Linked DNA regions of Rattus norvegicus. The protein of the gene in region 3 purifies or fractionates together with the protein of the main gene of each other region. This does not show direct contact. Links are inferred from orthologs where the notes say so. Each region holds a gene or a part of one and is shown on either strand. Other genes may lie near its edges.

Evidence for each region.
Region 1: the proteins of Mapk1 (region 3) and Dusp9 purify together in Homo sapiens (affinity purification with mass spectrometry; 5 studies listed by BioGRID and IntAct, with this or other methods). This does not show direct contact. The link is inferred for Rattus norvegicus from reciprocal best matches to the Homo sapiens genes MAPK1 and DUSP9.
Region 2: the proteins of Mapk1 (region 3) and Erf purify together in Homo sapiens (co-immunoprecipitation; 3 studies listed by BioGRID and IntAct, with this or other methods). This does not show direct contact. The link is inferred for Rattus norvegicus from reciprocal best matches to the Homo sapiens genes MAPK1 and ERF.
Region 4: the proteins of Mapk1 (region 3) and Hmmr purify together in Homo sapiens (affinity purification with mass spectrometry; 4 studies listed by BioGRID and IntAct, with this or other methods). This does not show direct contact. The link is inferred for Rattus norvegicus from reciprocal best matches to the Homo sapiens genes MAPK1 and HMMR.
Region 5: the proteins of Mapk1 (region 3) and Dusp4 purify together in Homo sapiens (affinity purification with mass spectrometry; 6 studies listed by BioGRID and IntAct, with this or other methods). This does not show direct contact. The link is inferred for Rattus norvegicus from reciprocal best matches to the Homo sapiens genes MAPK1 and DUSP4.

The regions. Positions count from the first base shown.
Region 1 is NC_086039.1:156,501,868-156,506,044, forward strand, and holds the start of Dusp9 (dual specificity protein phosphatase 9), read left to right. Parts: upstream 1-1,369; 5' UTR 1,370-1,552; intron 1,553-2,127; 5' UTR 2,128-2,162; coding exon 2,163-2,625; intron 2,626-3,119; coding exon 3,120-3,575; intron 3,576-3,843; coding exon 3,844-4,169; 3' UTR 4,170-4,177. UniProt on the Homo sapiens protein: Inactivates MAP kinases. Has a specificity for the ERK family.
Region 2 is NC_086019.1:89,963,402-89,967,692, reverse strand, and holds the start of Erf (ETS domain-containing transcription factor ERF), read left to right. Parts: upstream 1-1,479; 5' UTR 1,480-1,640; coding exon 1,641-1,662; intron 1,663-4,291. UniProt on the Homo sapiens protein: Potent transcriptional repressor that binds to the H1 element of the Ets2 promoter. May regulate other genes involved in cellular proliferation.
Region 3 is NC_086029.1:97,525,020-97,529,274, forward strand, and holds the start of Mapk1 (mitogen-activated protein kinase 1), read right to left. Parts: upstream 2,807-4,255; 5' UTR 2,593-2,806; coding exon 2,480-2,592; intron 1-2,479. UniProt on the Homo sapiens protein: Serine/threonine kinase which acts as an essential component of the MAP kinase signal transduction pathway. MAPK1/ERK2 and MAPK3/ERK1 are the 2 MAPKs which play an important role in the MAPK/ERK cascade.
Region 4 is NC_086028.1:25,638,063-25,641,397, forward strand, and holds part of Hmmr (hyaluronan-mediated motility receptor), read right to left. Parts: intron 3,183-3,335; coding exon 3,030-3,182; intron 2,936-3,029; coding exon 2,836-2,935; intron 1,602-2,835; coding exon 1,425-1,601; intron 1-1,424. UniProt on the Homo sapiens protein: Receptor for hyaluronic acid (HA). Involved in cell motility. When hyaluronan binds to HMMR, the phosphorylation of a number of proteins, including PTK2/FAK1 occurs.
Region 5 is NC_086034.1:64,081,545-64,083,713, forward strand, and holds part of Dusp4 (dual specificity protein phosphatase 4), read right to left. Parts: intron 1,915-2,169; coding exon 1,529-1,914; 3' UTR 1-1,528. UniProt on the Homo sapiens protein: Regulates mitogenic signal transduction by dephosphorylating both Thr and Tyr residues on MAP kinases ERK1 and ERK2.

The DNA.
Region 1 (4,177 bases), on a different chromosome or scaffold from region 3:
GTTCTTGATGCATATTGCTACACTATTTCCAAAATGGTGCTACCAAAACAAAATCCCTCCTAGGATAAGAACACCACATGTGTTTCACAGCAACCTTGCCAACTCTTGGCGGTCTCATTTTGAGAACATTCTACTAATGTCGTGACTGGGAAGTATTTCCTTATTTTTTTTTTTTTGAATTGGCTTTCCTTCCCTGCCTGAGCTTCAACCTTTCCCCAAATATTCTTACCCCATCACATTCCTTCCTTCGGGCAGAGTATGCAGTCCTTGAGTTCCTTACCCATTTATCTACGGGGTCTTAACCCTTTGATTATTTTGTGCGAGCTTTATCTTATCTGTTGTGTGTTTTCCTTTAACGCTGTTATTTGCTTTTCTTGGGCTTTTAGCAGAGAAAGGACACATGGCCAAATGGGGCTTTTTTAGAAGCCTCCCCTGCCTCTCCTTTCATTGTCAGCACTTATCACCCCGATATCTGGTCCAGTGCCTTTGCTTATTGTTGGTGTGTCCTGCTGGACTGGAAGACCCAGGCAAGGAGAGCCCTTGTGTGTCTTTCCTGTTCATTACCTGTCTGATGGGCTGGTTGGAGGCCACTAGCCTTTGTGGACTGAATAGTGCTCTGGAATGGGGCAGGGTGGAGACAAGCTGAAGTTTCAGAAACTGGGACACTGACATGTATAGTCATGACCACTGCAAAAGCCAGAAGGAGCATGGGGATAGGGACATATTGCAGTAAAACTACTTCCCTCCACGTGGATCCATCCAGGGGGTTATGGGAAAGATGTTATGGGGAGGCGCCCGCCTTCACCTGATAAGAGCACAGTGTCTCAGTTTAAAGTCGAGTGCTCAGAATTCCTGCGTACCTTTAGCTAGACCTGTACAAATGAAGCCCAGATGGAAATAGCGCACCCGGGAACTGCCTTGTCACTTCAGTTTTTTAGTGGCATCTCACAGTAGAACACTTTAGAAGGCTCCGATTAGCCCATTATACAGATGGGGGCCATCTAGTTCCAGATCAGGATTGTTGAGTTGTTCGAGACAGTTTCTGGTTCTGGGGCTCTGGGCTTTTGTCCCCACCCCTCTTCCTGCTTCCAGGGACCAGACTGGCGCCAAGCAGGGGCAACTGCAACATGTCCCCTGCTGGGCCCCCGACCTGCCCTTGGCCTCTGCCCCGACCCTGTCCCGCCTGGGTGGAAGCCCTAGCTCAGCTTGAGGTTTGCAACTCCCACCAGGCTATTCGTTAGCACTGGTTGGCTCGCCTGCCCCCTGAGACCGCCCCACCGCCCCGCCCCGTCCCGCCCCTTTGAGCTGCTACTTAGTCCGTCCGAAGGCAGAGCCTTCCAAGGTGGAATCTGGATCCGGCAGCCAGGAAGCGGCCAGCGCACGAGTGGCGCGAGGCTTGGCTTCCACGTGCGAGCCTGCTCCACCACCCCGCCCTCTCTGAGCGCCGGAGCCTGGGGACTCCGTCTCCATGAACGATACCTGCGCCCTGCCTTGGCACTAGCTGTGGTGAGGACGTCCGCGTTTGGCCGCCTGCCTCTGGATCTCGCTCCAGGTCTCTCCTTTTGTTCTCTCCTGGGGTGGGTAGGAGTGGGGCCGAGTCAGCTCTTACGGGACGGGACTCGCCGAGGCCCATCACCTCGGTGACCCTCTTGTTCTCTGGGTCTTCCCGGCTAGAGAGGAGAGCCGGGCCTTGAACCCAACTTCTCCACCCATCCAAAATCGAACTTGGGGAGTGATGGAGATCAGAGTAAATGAGAAAGTCAGAAAAGGGGTGTGGAGGGAACTGGTTTTAGTCCTCCTAGCACCTCAGAAAATGCCTTCATTCAAGAGGCCGCTAGACGCCTAGCTATCTTCTGGGGTATATCTCTTGAAACTCCATGTGTTAAGCGGGGCAGGGAACAGCGCCCAAGTGGCGGCAGCCTCGGGTCTTTTTCCCGGGGCGCCTTCCTTGGTGTTCTCACTGTGGGTGGAGCGCGAGGAGAGAAGCAGGCGGTAGAGGAATGTCCCTGCGGGGACACTGAGCGCCTTCCCTCAGGACAGGGGTTGACTTCCCGCCTCAGTAGCCTGGTCCACGCTGCGGGAGTAGAGAAAACTTGCCCTCACCCCGCGCCTTGACTCTCTCCACAGCGCCCGCTGCCCGACGTGCAGGACGCTGCGCGACCATGGAGAGTCTGAGTCGGTCATGCCTGTGGCTGCGTCAGGAGCTGTCGTCCCCGCGCCCACAGCTTCTGATACTGGACTGCCGCAGCCGGGAGCTGTATGAGTCGGCGCGCATCTGCGGGGCGCTGAGCGTGGCCCTGCCCTCGCTGATGCTGCGCCGCCTGCGGAGAGGGAGCATGTTGGTGCGGTCGCTCTTGCCTGGGCCACCGGTGCAGCCTCCGCCACCGGCCCCTGTGATCCTCTATGACCAGGGTAGTGGCCAGTGTCAGCCCGAAGCAACGGAGGCTGAAGCTAAGGCCGAAGCGGAGGCCAAAGCCGAGGCCGAAGCGGAGGCCAAAGCCGAGGCCGAAGCGGAGGCCAAAGCCGAGGCTAAAGAGGAAGCTGAAGAGTGGGATGCTGACTCGGTGCTGGGCATCCTGCTCCAGAAGCTGCGGGAAGAAGGCTACCCAGCATACTACCTACAGGGTAAGTGAGGGTCAGTGGTCTGAGAGAGAGCGCTCTGGAGAGGCCTCAGGTCGGGAGAAAAGGTCCTTCTTTCCAAGGGGAGTTCATAATTAATTTAACCTTCGGCAAACTCAGTCTTATTTTGTCTAAAATATAGGGTAAGGGCCTCCCTCCAATAAGCTGCTGGAGAGCTTTTGGAGGTGGGGAGATGAGCATGACCTTGGGCAAGTCCTTCATCCCTCCAAGCCCATTTATAAATCTGGAAAATGGGGAGAATTGATCTGAAACAACCTGGGTCACAGGCTATTGCCCCGGGACTAAGGGCTGCATTGGGCACTTGCCATGCTGAGCGAGGGTGGATGGGTGTCCATAGCATAGCACGTGTAAGGAATCTGCTGGCTTATGTGTTCCCCTTAGCAATATCTGCAACCCCCAATCCGGGGAGCTGTATAGGCCAGGGATACCTGGCTGCCAGGAAGGCATGTTAGTAAGACCTCACCCTTTTTTCCTGACAGGCGGCTTCAGCAAATTCCAGGCCGAGTGTCCTCACCTGTGTGAAACCAGCTTCAGTGGTCGCGCTGGCTCAGGCCTGGGCTCAATGTCTAGCCCAGTGCCTGTGGTAGGGCTTGGTGGCCTGTGCTTGAGCACTGATTTCTCTGATGCAGAGTCCGAGGCTGACCGAGACACCTTGAGCTGTGGCCTAGATTCTGAGAGCACCACATCCCCTCCAGCTGGGCTGCTACCACCCTTCCCAGCCCAGATCCTGCCCAATCTCTACCTAGGCAGTGCTCGCGATTCAGCCAATTTGGAAAGCCTTGCCAAGCTTGGCATCCGCTATATCCTCAATGTCACCCCTAACCTTCCTAACCTCTTTGAGAAGAATGGTGACTTCCACTACAAGCAGATCCCCATCTCTGATCATTGGAGCCAGAATCTGTCTCAGTTCTTTCCGGAGGCCATTGCATTCATAGGTGAGTCCTCCCTACCCCTCCCCCAGCCCACTCTATCCACCCACCAGACTGATTCCTGGCCACCTCCTCCTTACTCTCTGCATTCCCAGAGCACATGTGACACTTGGGGAGGTGGGGGTAGAGCTCAGGTTAGCTACCAGTGAGACCTCCCAGATATGCTCTAAGCAGGGTGGGGAGACAACGATGATGACCCCAGAAATTCACTTAGCTTTGGCCTCACTCATGGTGACCCTTAGGGGGTGTTTCTGTTCTTTCCTGTTCTACCTAGATGAGGCCTTGTCACAGAACTGTGGGGTGCTCGTCCACTGTCTGGCAGGGGTCAGCCGCTCTGTCACTGTCACCGTGGCCTACCTCATGCAGAAGCTTAACCTCTCACTCAACGATGCCTACGACTTGGTCAAGCGGAAGAAGTCTAACATCTCACCTAACTTCAACTTTATGGGGCAACTGCTAGACTTTGAACGCAGCCTGCGCCTGGGGGAGAAGCGCTCTGGTGGGAGGGGCAGTGGGGGGCCAGAGTCCACTGTCTCAGACCCACCTTCCTTTTTTACTACCCCCACCAGTGATGGGGTTTTTGAGCTGGATCCCACATAAAGCTGTCT
Region 2 (4,291 bases), on a different chromosome or scaffold from region 3:
TGGGATTTTATGAGTATGAAGATGTTACGGACAATGCTTGGCTCACAGCCTGGCACATCGTGAGCACTCAGGATTGAGAGCTGTTATTGTAACAATGATGATTATTGCTGGACCACGCTGCTCCCAGAGGGTTACAATATCCGTGGGGAGCTGCACTGTCCGTAGGCAAGGTTACATAATTCCCCAAAGGGGTGACACTTCCCTGGAGGCCATGGTCTCCCTAAGGAGGAGGCAAGAGACTTCTCTGCGGCACCCGTGAGCTGGTTTAAAGGCTGAATAGGAAACCGGCAATGGAGAAGTTTGGGTTTGAAGCCTTAAGCACCTATAGCCTGAACCAGATAGGCCTTCCCTCTTGCCTGCTGCGTCTCTGATTCATCATCCTTTCAGTCTCCTAGCCCCATATCTCTTCCTTTGGCCACTCCGGTTTATTTTTCATTATTTCCCTGAGAATGTTCAGGCTTAGCTTATGAGAGTATAGCTTCTGTTTCCCCTCTACCCAGCAGCAGCAGGCTGCCTACCTGCATCCGATCGGTACCCCGATTTCCTGTTTCCCGAGCCTCAGGCTCCATCCATTCTTCCCATCTGCTGCAGCGAACGCAGACTTAACACTTCCCCTACGCTCAGGCCTTTGGTCTTAAGCCCTGTCTTCCTCTCTCCTGGCGACCCCCAATGCTCCTCCGGAGCACATTTGTTCAGACTTGGGTCGCCCCCAGCATCCTGGCACTATCTCCGGAACCCCCTGCTCCAGTGTGGAGGTGGGGTACCTCCGGCCGGGCTCCCAGGACAGCTGCAGCCTAGGGACCGTGGTGATTGTGGGGGCTCCCGAATGCATTCTCTGGTCACTTCCTCCGCAGCTGGACTGGGTCTATCAGGAAGGCCAAGACCCCATCTCCACAGGAGTCGAGGGTACAACCGCCTCCCCATTTCCGATGCTGGGAAATGTTTCCCACCCATTCCACCCCACCCCTGGACAGCTGCCCTCTTTCAGGCTCGGGGTTGAGGGGGGTTGGGTAAACTCAGGCTGGGAAATGGCTCTGCTCTTGATCATCCTCCAAGAACCAGACTCCGCCCCCCTGCAGAGAAGATTCTGCCCCTTCCCCACAAAAATTTCTAATCGTCCCCCTTCATAAAATTCCTTTCCTCCAAAAGGTCCCAAAAGAAACTCTGGAGCCAGGAAAGGGCAGAAGAGAGGCAGCAGGTACTGAGCGCTGAAGACTTAAGTTCTTCTGACTTAGAGACTCCAAGAAGGGTCGTGACCCCCAGGACCACCCCCCAGCCCCTCTCTGCCCTCTTCTCCCCTTCCGCCCCCCCAACCCCCCCGCCGCGCGGGCCCTTTAAGCCTAGAGCCGACCGGTCCTCAGTGGCTGCGCGCCGGCAAGCGTGTGTGAGTGCGCGGGAGGGGGCGGGCACAGTGTCTCCATGGCGACGCGGTGGTGACGTCGCCGGCCGGGGGGCGTGGGCGTCCCGGCCCCGGAGTGCGATATTAACCCGGGAGGCGGCGGCGGGGAGGGGAGAGGCTCTGAGAGGCGAGGCCGGGTGCGGCGGCGAGGGCGTCCCAACGGGCGCGGGACGGGACGGGGCAACGCGGGCGCCTGGAGCAGCGGCCCGGAGTCGGGGCGCCTTGCCCCGGGCCCCCCAGCATGAAGACCCCAGCGGACACAGGTGGGGGCGGGGGCAGCACGTGTGGGGGAGACTTGTTGCCCCGGGAAACCGGGAGGAAAAACTTTGGGTGGGGGCTGAAGGGGTTCTGGGGAGCCCGATTGATACCCAGTTCTTGGGGACCCCCAAGCACTCGAGACCTGTTGCTTCTCGCGGCGCGAGCTGGGGTGCTGCCTGGAAGCCCCAATTCCGTGGGTCTTTTCGGAATGGTGTGGGTGCTGCGGGTGCTGTTCTTTCCCTGCCCGGACCGGGCAACCTGGGTTCTCCCGGGATCACTGGGGTGGCAGAGTCCCCTCCCTGTCGTTCTGTCACGTTGCACTCCGGGGGCCGGGACGTGTGCGGGGCGAGGTGGGGGTTCTGCATAGGGACCCGCTATGCTCGGTTCTGCGTTGCGCGGTCCGGCCCGTGACCTTCACGGCGGCGCGTGCCCAGCACCCGGTGAGCGGGATACGGGATGGCCTGGAGCTGGGCGTGAGTGGGGAACACGGGACTCGGGGTCCGGGCTGCACCGCCCCTCCCCCGTCCGTCTCCTCGCTCCCCCGCCCGGACTGAGTCGCAAAGTTCCAAAGCGCAGCCCGAACGTTCGAAAAAGGAACTTTTTGTTTCCGACCTTAGAACGCGCGGCTTTAAGGTGGCTCAGGGGAGACTTGGGTACTCTCCTCCGACGCGGGCGGAGGCTTGGGAGTTGAGGAGGGTGGGAAAGATGGGGGGGGGATGCAGAGGCTCTCTCTTCGTCCTTCCCCCCCTCACCGATTCTGCGCCTCTTTCAGCGGGCCGTCTTTTCCCTCCGCCCCTCTCTTCCCCGCCAAGTTGCTCCTCCTTAAGGGGCCAGGGTTCCCCTCCCCCCCCGATCGCTGGGCGGGGGGCAGCAGGATTAACCCCCCCCTCCCACTCGGACTTTCCCCCTTCCCCTCCCCCGCCGCCCCCGGGCTTGCACAGGCTGGACTTTGCGCCCGGGCGCGCGGGGGGGAGGGGGCCTCGCCGCCCCCTGCCCGTCTGCCCCGTCGGAATCCGGCCCGGGGCGGGGACGAGGGAGGGGGAAGGGGGCCGGGCGCCGCTGTTCAAACTTGTTTCCTTCCCCCGGCGGCGGCCGCGGCTCCGGCTCCTATGTGCGGGTGTGTGCCCCGACCGGCCCACCCACCCCACCTCCCTGCTCGGCGGGTGGGGGCGGCTCTTAAAGGGCTCGGAGCAGGACTCAGGCGCCAGAGGATTGGGGCTGAGGAGGGGGTCGGGGGTGGGGTAGGGGTGCGCAGTGCCGTAGGGTCAGTCACGTGCGTCCCACTTAGTCCCCCACTCCCGGACTCTCACAGGCTCCGGGGCTGCGGGGCCCTGGGGGCAGCAGGAGCCTCGCCTCACCCGGGGAGGGGACCAAGGCGCTCAGACAACCCCGCCTTGTCTTCCCTCTATGTTACGGGCCTTGGCCTGACGGGACCTGTAAGGCCACTGCAACCCTGTCTGGGGTCCCGGTCATGTGTAGATTCTCATGGGAAGGCGGGGGACCAGAACGGCCTCGAGGTCGGTTTGTTTCTCCTGACTGCCGGCCACTGCTCGCCCTTCCATCCGATCCTCCATCCCGGCGTTTCTCTGCTCCGCCGTGGCTGTTTCCCACTTCCTGTTTTCTTCCCGGCTCTGGCGCCATCGAGGTCTGCCTGGAGTGGGGGAGGTGTTGAGGCCCCCCGGGAGGCAGACGTATTTTTCCTCAACCACCACCCCTCCTATCTGACCCCTATATTCCCATAAAAAAGTTTAGGCAGTCATGTTGAGTTGGGGATTGTTTCCCAGAACTTATGCCCCGACCCAGGCTTGCACAGTCTGGGATATCCAGGTGTGCCTTCTGGGACCCAGCCATCATAGCCCTTCCTGTCTGCAGCCACCTCTACACCCTGTCTGCGTTTCTGGAGCCCTCTTTCAGTGTAGCTGCTTTCTTCCAGCCTCTCTGGACCCCCCATGCTGGAGAGGTCTTGCACCCTCAAGCTTTCTTGCTGCAGAGCTGGTGTTTCCGTGATTTAAGCACGTGGACCCGTATACAACACACACATGGTCTCCTTGCCCGTGCCTGGCTCCTGGCTCCAAGGCCTGGGGAACAGAGCCCCATTGAGACACCCTGACGTCACCCCCACTCCGTCCCCTCCCCAAAGCTGGGAACAGGCCCTCGTGTATGCTGTGTCCGATGAGGAAAGCCGGTACTGGGGTGGTGCTGGGTGGGCCTGGCATGAGGAGGGGTCTCTGCCAGAAGTAGCAACCAGGGTCCAGGCCCTGGGGGTGGTGTTTCTCAGGGAAGAAGGTTAGCAAGGGGGCCTGGGACAGCTCCCAGAATGCGGGCTTGAGGCCTTTCCAGAGCCCCCCCACCTCCTTTCCGAGTTCCCTTTGTGTTGCATGTAGTCTCTCTCTCTCACTCCCTCTCTTCTGCAAAGTTTATTTTTAGCCTCCTGCTCCCCCGCTCCCAGGACTGTCGCTGCACACACGTTGCCTGGTTACCGGGACACGGAGGCTGGGGCTGGTGGGCTGGGAAGGGTGGCTTTAGTTTTGGGGGGAGGGTGGAAGTCAGTACACCCCTCCACCTCCACATTGATGTGTTAGGGGCTTCAGCCCCCCTCTTGGGACAGGGAGCCAGATTGGAACTGAGATAGAA
Region 3 (4,255 bases):
TTGGTCTTTTTTTCGGAGCTGGGGACCGAACCCAGGGCCTTGTGCTTCCTAGGCAAGCGCTCTACCACTGAGCTAAATCCCCAACCCCCAAGTAATTTTTTTAAAGAGTTATTCTTAAATCAGTTTCCAGGGTGTGTACCCTAGTGAGTCTTCGTTGGACCACATGTGTGTAGATGCCCTTGGAAGGAGGGGTGCAGTAGGTGGTGGGTGGTAGTGTCACGTAACACAGATGCAGGGATCTGAGCTTAGGTCCTGCAAAAGCAGCAGGTACTCAACCACTATGCCGTCTTTCCAGCTTTTTTTTTTTTTTCTTTTTTTCGGAGCTGGGGACCGAACCCAGGGCCACTGAGCTAAATCCCCAACCCCGTCTTTCCAGCTTTTAAAGATCACTATTCAAGTGGATACTTAAGCTGAGAAGCTGCCATAAACTCAGCAATAATCAGATGATAATGACACACAATTAAGAATATTAAATAAATACTAAGATACATTATCTGGAGATAAGAGGCTGATGCTTGGATTTAAATTTCAATTATATTTGTATTTTTCTTAAAATTAAAATTTGTAGGTGCCAGCCTCATCTACAAATTGAGTTCCAGGATAGCCAGGGTGATTACACAGAGAAACCTTGTCTTAAAAAATTAATTAGTTTTATTTATTTTATGCATATGAATGTCTTGCTTAAATGCATGACTTAAGAGAACATCTCATCTTCTGGAACTATAATTACAGACTAGGCTGTCATTGGAATCGAACCCAGAGCAGCCAGTGCTCTTAACTGCTGAGTCATCTCTCCACCCCTAAAATGTGAATTTTAAAAAGAATTCTGCACAGCAAGCGGAAACTTCAAAGGTCAATAGCAACAGGATCTAAACAATCCATCTTATTAAGGTGGTCCTAAATTTTTTTGTCTCTATTTAAAGTAAGCTTTTTTATTCTTTTTTTTTTTTTAAATAAATGAGACTATGGTGGGTAATCATTTGAGTGTCAATAATAAGAGTTACTGGCATACTTACCAGCAAGTGCAAGGGCAGTAATACATGCAAGACAGATGTGATGTGGAAAGTAATTTTTCCCCATTCCTTTACAAAGACTTTCTTGTAACCGTGACCTAAATTTAATTTCCCCTTTGACTCGCAGGTCCAGTTCACTTTTACCTTCATAATTGTATACTATGAAACATTTTGCTCATAAGAATATAACTATTCTCCGGTCCTTTAAAAAGGAAAGTTAATTATTCTACCTAGTTAACACACTTGGTGAAAACACATCTTTCTTGGCATTTCTAAAATTATGACCATTCAAATTTGAATGCATTTCTGAAATAGACTTGTTCATCAGGAAAATATGCTGAAGTTCTGAAATTATTAATAAATCAAGGAAAGGCGTGTGCAATCATAGCTGAGGAGCTGAAGCATTTAAACCAGGATCTTTCTATATATAGAAAGCATGATTCTAGTTCTTCACCCTTGGGAAAAAGACTTCCTTTCAATACCTTATCTGAAAAAGGGTGTCTTCTCTTTCTTCAAGATGGCTATCCAAGTAAAATTAACTACCTCAGAAACCTTCGATAAATGAACTTGCTTTAATTAAAACAATACACTTCATTCCACAAGCAGAAAGTACTGTAAGTGGTTGTGTATATATAGTGAACACTAAAACGTTAGGGAAACGACCACAGTAAATAGGGCTAATACCTATGGATACATTCACATGTACTTTTGAGGGTAACGACGGGGTAATTTAAAGTCAAATTTGGAGTTAGGCCTAACTCCAAATACATCTTAATAATTCTAAGAGTGATGCTGGTTTATCCTTCCTGAAACACAATCGGTATGATATTTAAATCCATTTTGAAACTTCAAGATTTCAGTATATCCACAACCAACGCTGTGTCATTGTTTTTTAGAAAGCCTGAGGTAGAACGCATCATTAGCTCTACTGAAGATATTTTGTGAATGCTGTTCACGTACACAGAGAGAATAAAAATATTTTGGTGCTCAGCACACAAGCCCATTATTCCGTCTTGCAAAACCATTGCCGCCGCCACCACCACGGACATGCATCTAATGGAATTCCTAGTTTTAATCTAATGTCAAAAGGCGGCGGCTATAACGCTATGAACTAGGGGACATGGTGCACTTCCGTTCCCGACCCAAGGGAGAAGCCTCGAAAGTACGCGCTCGAGACCAAGCCCGGGAGTCTTCGAGTCCTGGCCTCGGTCTGAGATGCCCTTCCAACAGCAAACGAAGGGTCAGCTCAGGAAGCAGCAGAGCAACACTTAAACCTCGAAAGGGCCCCCGGGACCCCGCCCCAGGGCCCCAGGAGTGCGGGCCAAGGAGAAGCCACGGGTCCGGGGGCGCCGCGGACCGCGAGGCCAAGGCGCGGGAAAGGCCGCAGCTGCGTCCAGATCAGCCATAGGCAGGGGGCACAGGATGACCGCGTGAGGCCGGGCCTGCAAACCAGCGCAGACACTTACCAAACCATGCCGTAGGCGCCTTCTCCGATGTACGAGAGATTAGTGTAGCGCGGCCCCACGTCGAACACCTGCCCGCGGACCATCTCCGGGCCCGCCGCCGCCGCCGCCGCCATGTTGGCTGCACAGCCTCCGCCGCGTTGGGCTCGACGCTTCGCGGTTACCGCTCGACTTGTGCTGCGCTTCCCACAGGAACCGCGCCGCCGCCCGTGTAGCAGCCGCTGGCGGCGATCGGGAACGAGGAGGGAGGACAACACAGAAGAGAGAACTAACCGCCGGTAGAACCACTGCCTGCCTTCCTGCCTGACGGGCGGGCGGGCAGCGAGTGGGAGGAGGGAAGGACTCGCGTCGAGGGGCGCTAGGGCGGAGTCAAGGGCGTGCGTGATGATTGGCTTCTCCCCTCAGAGAGGGCGGAGTCTCGCGGGCCGGCGGAAGCAGCGAAGTAAGCCAGGAGCACTGCGGCTGCGGGGGAGGGACGTCACGTGCGTTCAGAAAGCTAAGGGCTGGGTAGCTCTAGAAAGCTAGATTGGAACTTAGGCATAATGACCCCACAGAGTCCCACCACTGTACCTGGTCCAGAACGAACTCGCGCGGGACCAGGGACTTGAGACCAGAGGACTCACTGCACACCAGCCACGGGACCCCTGAGACAGACAGGCCTCTAGGAATACGTGGCCCACATTCTGCACTCTTATGCACTTAGACCGTCAGAGTGGGACAGAAACCAAAAAGATGACCCAGACCCAGAAAAATATTTTCACCCTGTAATGAGAATAATAAATAAAAAAGATGCCTTTTGGACATATAAAAACAGATTAGTCAGGAACCCTACAGTACCTAAGGCTGCTCCTGATACCCAGAGCCCAGTGACATGGAGATGACATAGTCCTAGAATCCCATGATGCCTACTGGACAAAATATAAGCAGAGACCAAAAGCAATGCTTTGCTCTACGTATCTGGAGAGATGCACCTTGATCTGTTCTGTGGCTAGAGAATCTCCCTCAGAATCCTGACCCTCAAATCAGAGACTTCTGTTAGAGATTAGACCTGACCTGAAGCTAAGATAGGTCACACAGGTGAACAGCCTTGGGAAGACAGGCTTAGGAATGTAAGGAGTTTAGAGTGTAAACCTTGCATGATGACCTTCAGCATAATAAAATATAACTTTTCTTATACTAACTACGTATATCTACCTTCTTACTGGTGACGCACACCTAACAGTGTGAGACATAAATAAGTAGAAACCAAAACACAAGACATTGAATCCCCTAATTAGAGGTTTCTTCAAGAAAATTTGCTTAATACCTATAGCATTGGAGCCAGCCATGTTTCCAGAGTGAAAAGACAGGCAAAATACAATATTTGCACTTAAGTGTTGTGAAGAAATAAAAAGCCAAGGGAAAATATAAAGAGCTGTGGGTGGGGACGCTGGAGAAAGACAGTGAAATTCCGGGACTTGGATTCAGGTGCTGTGTAACACTTTCCTGAAGGATTGAAACATTCTATCCGGAGGGGTAACTCCTTAAACAATAAGGTAAAAAACTGAAAGGAGCAAGTCAGTGTGGTGCCTCACATGTACCACTTGTGAGGCAGAGTGGGGCAGATCTCTTAAGAATGGGAGGCCAGCCTGGTCTACAGAATGAGTTCCAGGATAGCCAAGAGTCTCAAAAAAAAAAAAAAAAAAACCAAAAAACAAAAAAAGCAAAAAACAAACAAACAAAAACAAAAACAAAACAAAAAAAAACAATCAAAAAACTCAACGGAGTTTAAGAAGTCCT
Region 4 (3,335 bases), on a different chromosome or scaffold from region 3:
CCTAGGGAGCTGTGCCAGGCTAACTTCAGGCTCCCTGACTTGGGATTGTTTCCCATTCACAGCCTCCATGGTAGTTTAGTTTTAACAACAGGTTCCATCCCAAGATGGCTTGCAACCCTTGTCCTCTCAGTTGTACAAAGTGGACTGCCTTTCTGCTGACCCGTCCATAGGGGAACTGCGTTCTTATAAAATCTCAAAACTGGACTGGAGATGTGTGAGTGCCAAGGGCTTCTGCTGACGGAGGATGGCCAGGCTCTTTTTACCAGGACCTAAGCAAGTCAGTATCGAAGCTCTTCAAAACTGAAAATTAACACTACTACTGGGTCCAGTTTACAGCTTCTGGTATAAACCAGGAAGAATCAAAATCAACATACTATAAACACCCATATCTCAGGTAATATAACCCATTGTTTTGTATAATGTATGCCAAAAATAAAATATAAACTGACTTTCTAAAAGGAAAGAGAAATTAAATAATCATTCTTTTGAATACTACTTATCTTCATAGTAGTTAGAAAAAGGAATGGCTATTTTGTAAATAGAAATGAACGTGTAAAATTTTATAGTTTCTAACTTCTCAGCCATTATAAAACTAAGTAAAAAACTAAGTAGTTGTGGTAAAAATTAAAAAACGAACATTTTCTATTAGTTCCCATGAGCTGGATCCACCCATTCCAGCTGCTACTTTATCACACGGTCTGCAAGTCGCTCACTCTGGCTGTCTCCCTTTTAGCAGTCCTCTTGTGCGGTCCCCTAGGAGGTAGTTACTATGCATCACACACACACACACACACACACACACACACACACACACACACACACACACACACACACACCCCTCGTTCTGCAGACCCTGTGCATTCTCACTCCACGTAGGCAGATCCGCGTGTTCCAACTGCCTTTTAGCCATTTCTGTCACACACTGTCCTCTTTAGCCTGGTAATCAAAGTTCCAGAAACTTGTAATTTAGCAACTAGATTTACACGTTACATTCTCAATCCACAATATATGTACACAATAAACTTACAACCAATCGATAAGGATATAAGCCATCCACCCAGATAAGATGCAATTTGCCCATCTAGACAACACAAAATCCTGTACACATCCACCCCTTAAGAACAGTCGTAATAACCTGTGAGTGTACAGAGAGGAATCTTAACATCCGCCATGTTCTCTTGGCTGCCAGCCCCCATGCTCAGGTCCCCTCTGCCTCTGTAAATCTTACTTCCCACCCACCCTTCCTTCTTGTCCAACAACAGCCTCGTTCTACCCTGCATCTGCCTTCGCCTGCATAATGATATCAACCTACACTATCTGGTTAACACTAAGTAAGTCCGTTAGCTCTCAGAAGAATTGGCCTCTATAAACTGGTCAGTATCTTTGGTTTTAGCATATCTGAATATGGGTGTTATTTTACAAACCGATTTGAGCTGGCTGTTTTCATCTTTCAATTTCACGACATGTTTGATTTTTTGCTTCAGATTCTGGTGGCCAAGCAGCTGTGCGTAGGAGTCTCTGATTTTACTTAGCTGCTCCTGAGTTGCACCATGTTCATTCAACAGTGCCTGCTTCTCTGCTTCGAAGGCATCCAGTTGTTGCTGGAAAAGATGAATTAGCATATATCAGTACTGAAACCAAGACTAGCTTGCTGAACTTGTGCACCCTCTGCTCCTGCCTCACAGCAGCATAAGCATTTGTGGTCATGCTTGGACTAAACTTTTTCAACATCTGCTTCCATTCCAATTAGACCTTCCTTTTGTTTGTAGGCTTGTTTGCGTGTTTCTAGATTTAAAAAAAAAAAAAGAGTCTCACTACAGTCCTGGCTGTCCAAGAACTTAGAACCAGGCTGTTGTTAAACTCAAGTAACACCACTTGCGTCTGCCTCCTGAGTGCTGGGACTAAAGGTGTGTGCTACCACCACACCTGGCTCCTTTCTCTTTAAAGAGCTTAGGGGATTGTCATGTGTGATGATCTGTGGCCATAAATTCAGCATTCAGGAGGCAGAAGCAAGAGGTCAGGAATTCAAGCACAAATTCAGCTCCAGAGAACATTCCAGCCTAGAATCTCAAGGGGAAAGCTAGTCAGGCACAGAGGCTGATGTTCCTAATGCTAGCACTTGGGGAGTAGAAGAAGGAACACTTCAGATCCCAGGCTTGGCACAGTGAGCACCAGGCAGCTTGGATTCTATAGCAATACCTTGTCTTTAAACCAAAGGATAACATACAACGCAAATATCACTACAGTGACTGGAGAAATGCTGGGATGGATCATACCGAAATACACATCACAAAATAACAGGTAAATGATTGATGTTCCTACCAGGAGAGTTTTCAGGATCACTAATTTCAAATTGTTGATTAGAAAGCATTTTTTATATTATACCATCACATTAAAATTTAGTGTCAGGTAAATTTGTCAGTTGGCTGGGAAAATGATAAATAGTAATACAAAATGCCCGTTTTTTATGGCTTTACTTTTTGTGTATCTCTGGGAACTGTACGTGCCAAGCACACTTACTCAGTGGTAGCTGAGCTCAAGACTCATGGAAGAAATACATTCTGAAAACAGATCACAATAAGTTTATTTATCTATTTTTATTTTATTTAACTTTTTTTTTAGGCGTATGGGTGTTTTGTCTACACTTATGTCTGGGCAACATGGCGCCCAGAAAGCCTGAAAAGTTGTTGGATGGCCTGAAACTGGAGTTATAGCCAGTCTGGAACCACCATGTGGTTACAGGGAATTGAGCCCAGGAACTGAACCTCTGGAAGAGGAGGCAATATCTTAACTTCAGATCCAGCCCACAAGTAAGTTTAATAACAAGCCACAAACCTGAAAAGGTTTAGTTTTGTCATACAGTTCTTCATATAGGAGACGCCATTTATTAATTTCCATGGTTAATTCTGTCACTGCAGTTTCTTTCTCTGTCATTCTGTATGGGAAAATTAAATTTAAAATTGAATTATCTTTTTCAATTTACTAGGAAAAACCATGTTCCATAGCATTTAAGGTCCAGCCTGACTTACTTTGCCCCTTCCTCTTCCAGCTGCTTCCTAAAGTCTTCATTTTGTTGTCTGAGTTGATTTTGCAAATCAGTTATTTTCTCAAGATATGAAGATGTGATTTCTTTAATTTCTGCTTCTTTCAATGTTGAGCTGTTCTGCAAATCTTGAACCACCCTTAGATTTGAGAAAGAAGAATCTACTAAACATCTGATAGTGGTTTCTATTTTCACCCTCTTCTTTTTGGAAAAAGAAAACAAAGAGCAAACAGACAGTTCTCGAAGCTTGGGACTCTAACTGGGTGTGGTAGGACTCTGTCTTTAAATGCAG
Region 5 (2,169 bases), on a different chromosome or scaffold from region 3:
AACCATGAGCCCGGGCTGTCTGGGACTCTGGATGAGAAAGCATTCCATCATGATGTAACGTGGACACTTGTAGTTTTATATTTATGCTCAAAGTGGGGGAGGGGGGCGGGACCGTGCTCATTTCTGCCAGGTCTGCAGTGACCTCTATCTAATCTGACATGCCGTCACAAAACTGTCCCCCAAAACTACAGACGAAACAGGTTCCCTCCCCACCCTGCACCTTCCCCCTAGAAAACACACTCCAATGCCTTTCCTCCACTTGGAAAGGCTCTTTTAAAATGGTGTTGGCCCAGTCAGAACCCAACATGGCTTCTGAGTCACTATCAGTAAGATAGGAGCTAGCACGCAGCCCCCCAACTCTGCTCTCTCCCTTCCAGACCGTAAGGAGCCCCAAGTCAGACATACACTTATCTTTTTACTCAAAAGAGGGAGGACTTTTCAAAGTATTCACTTGACAGGGATTTCGTAACAAGAATTTCTTGGTATGTATACTTCAAGTAAACTCCTAGAACTGAAACGCCCAATTTATCCGAGGGAGGGAGGAGATCAACGCCAAGAGGAGATTCATTTTTAGTTCATCTTCAGTGATCTGGTTCTGAGCTGGCCTTACCAAAATGATTCACGGTAGGAAAATCTGAATTGCACCCAGTTTTCCAGGAGCACCTTAGAAAAGATGGCATTTCCCCAGACGATATCCAGATCCTAGGCCAAATGCTCTACCCGCAGTCAAACTAGAGAGAAAAGCTTGCCCGGCTGGGTCAGTGGGCCCAGGAGCCAGCTGCAAAAAGTGACCAACCTTGTTCCTTGCAAGTCACCCTGCCTGCTTCTCAGTGGCAACGATGAAAGACGGTGACCCCAGCGACCACCTACCTGCCACACTCCCCTCACCGCCAGCACAGCTTTGTGTCTCTGTGTGTGACCTCAACAGAAACATATCCCAAAGCCACCAGACTCCTGCACACACACGCACACACACACATGCTCAGGTTCTCAATACTCATTAAACATCAATTATCCAGTTGACGGCTAACCAGAATACTGTGGCCTAGAAGGATCTAGAACAAAACTGCTGTGGGTCCAACAACAGAAGAATATGCACACAGAACCAGGCACTTTTCTGGCAAACTCAACTTTCTCCTCCTTCCCTCTCCACTCAATAAAACTGGTTGGGCACATTTGCCAGGATCTGTGGGCTTCATAACTTTCAAGCTTGATTGCTTTAAAAAATAATAATAATAATAATGAGGTAAATTTCTACCTGCAAAGGAAAAACGGACACAAAATCCAAGTCTTCTCTGGCAGCGGAAGCTGCTCTTATTGCTCTAGGCTGTGGGTGTTTAGCTGTGTTTGTTTTAAATGTGTATTCAAAGTCATAGTTATTGCCATCCTAGCTGGCCCTGTGGTCGGCCAAGGAGAAATGGATGGGGACGGTCACCTGGTCCCCCACTGGTCAGTCCCTATTCGCTCCTCACATGTGGCTTGCACACTGGCTGGGGCCGACTCTGGACTCGGTGTCCCGTGACTAGTCCTAACAGCTGGGGGAGGTGGTGATGGGGCTGTGCAGGTACGGCAGGTTACTGGGAGCCGCGTGCACACCCACGGACACGGGGAAGCTGAAGACGAACTGCGAGGTGGGGGTGGGAGTGGCCTTCCCCCTCTCCCGCAGGGGCCCGGAAGGGCTGGCGGCCTCCGCTGCGCAGGACGTGGTGAGCACCTGAGACTCGAACTGCAGCAACTGGCCCATGAAGCTGAAGTTGGGCGAGATGATGCTACGGCGCTGCTTGACGAACTCGAAAGCCTCCTCCAGCCTCACCCGTTTCTTCATCATCAGGTAGGCCAGGCAGATGGTGGCTGATCTAGAGATGCCGGCCTGGCAGTGAACCAGCACTCGCCCTCGGCAGTCCTTCACTGCGTCTGGGGCAGAAAGTGCGACATGATTAGGGACCTCGGCGGATTTCAGGAACCACCACGAGCAGGTGAGGGAGACGCACAGTGGGATGAGGGGCGCTACTGTGGGAAGGTCCCCTACGCTACACTGAGGACTACAACCCCACTCATCCCAGTGTGTGTGTGTGTTTTTTTTTTTCTTTTCTATTTTTCGGAGCTGGGGACCGAACCCAGGGCCTTGCGCTTGCTAGGGAAGCGCTCTACCACTGAGCTAAATCCCCA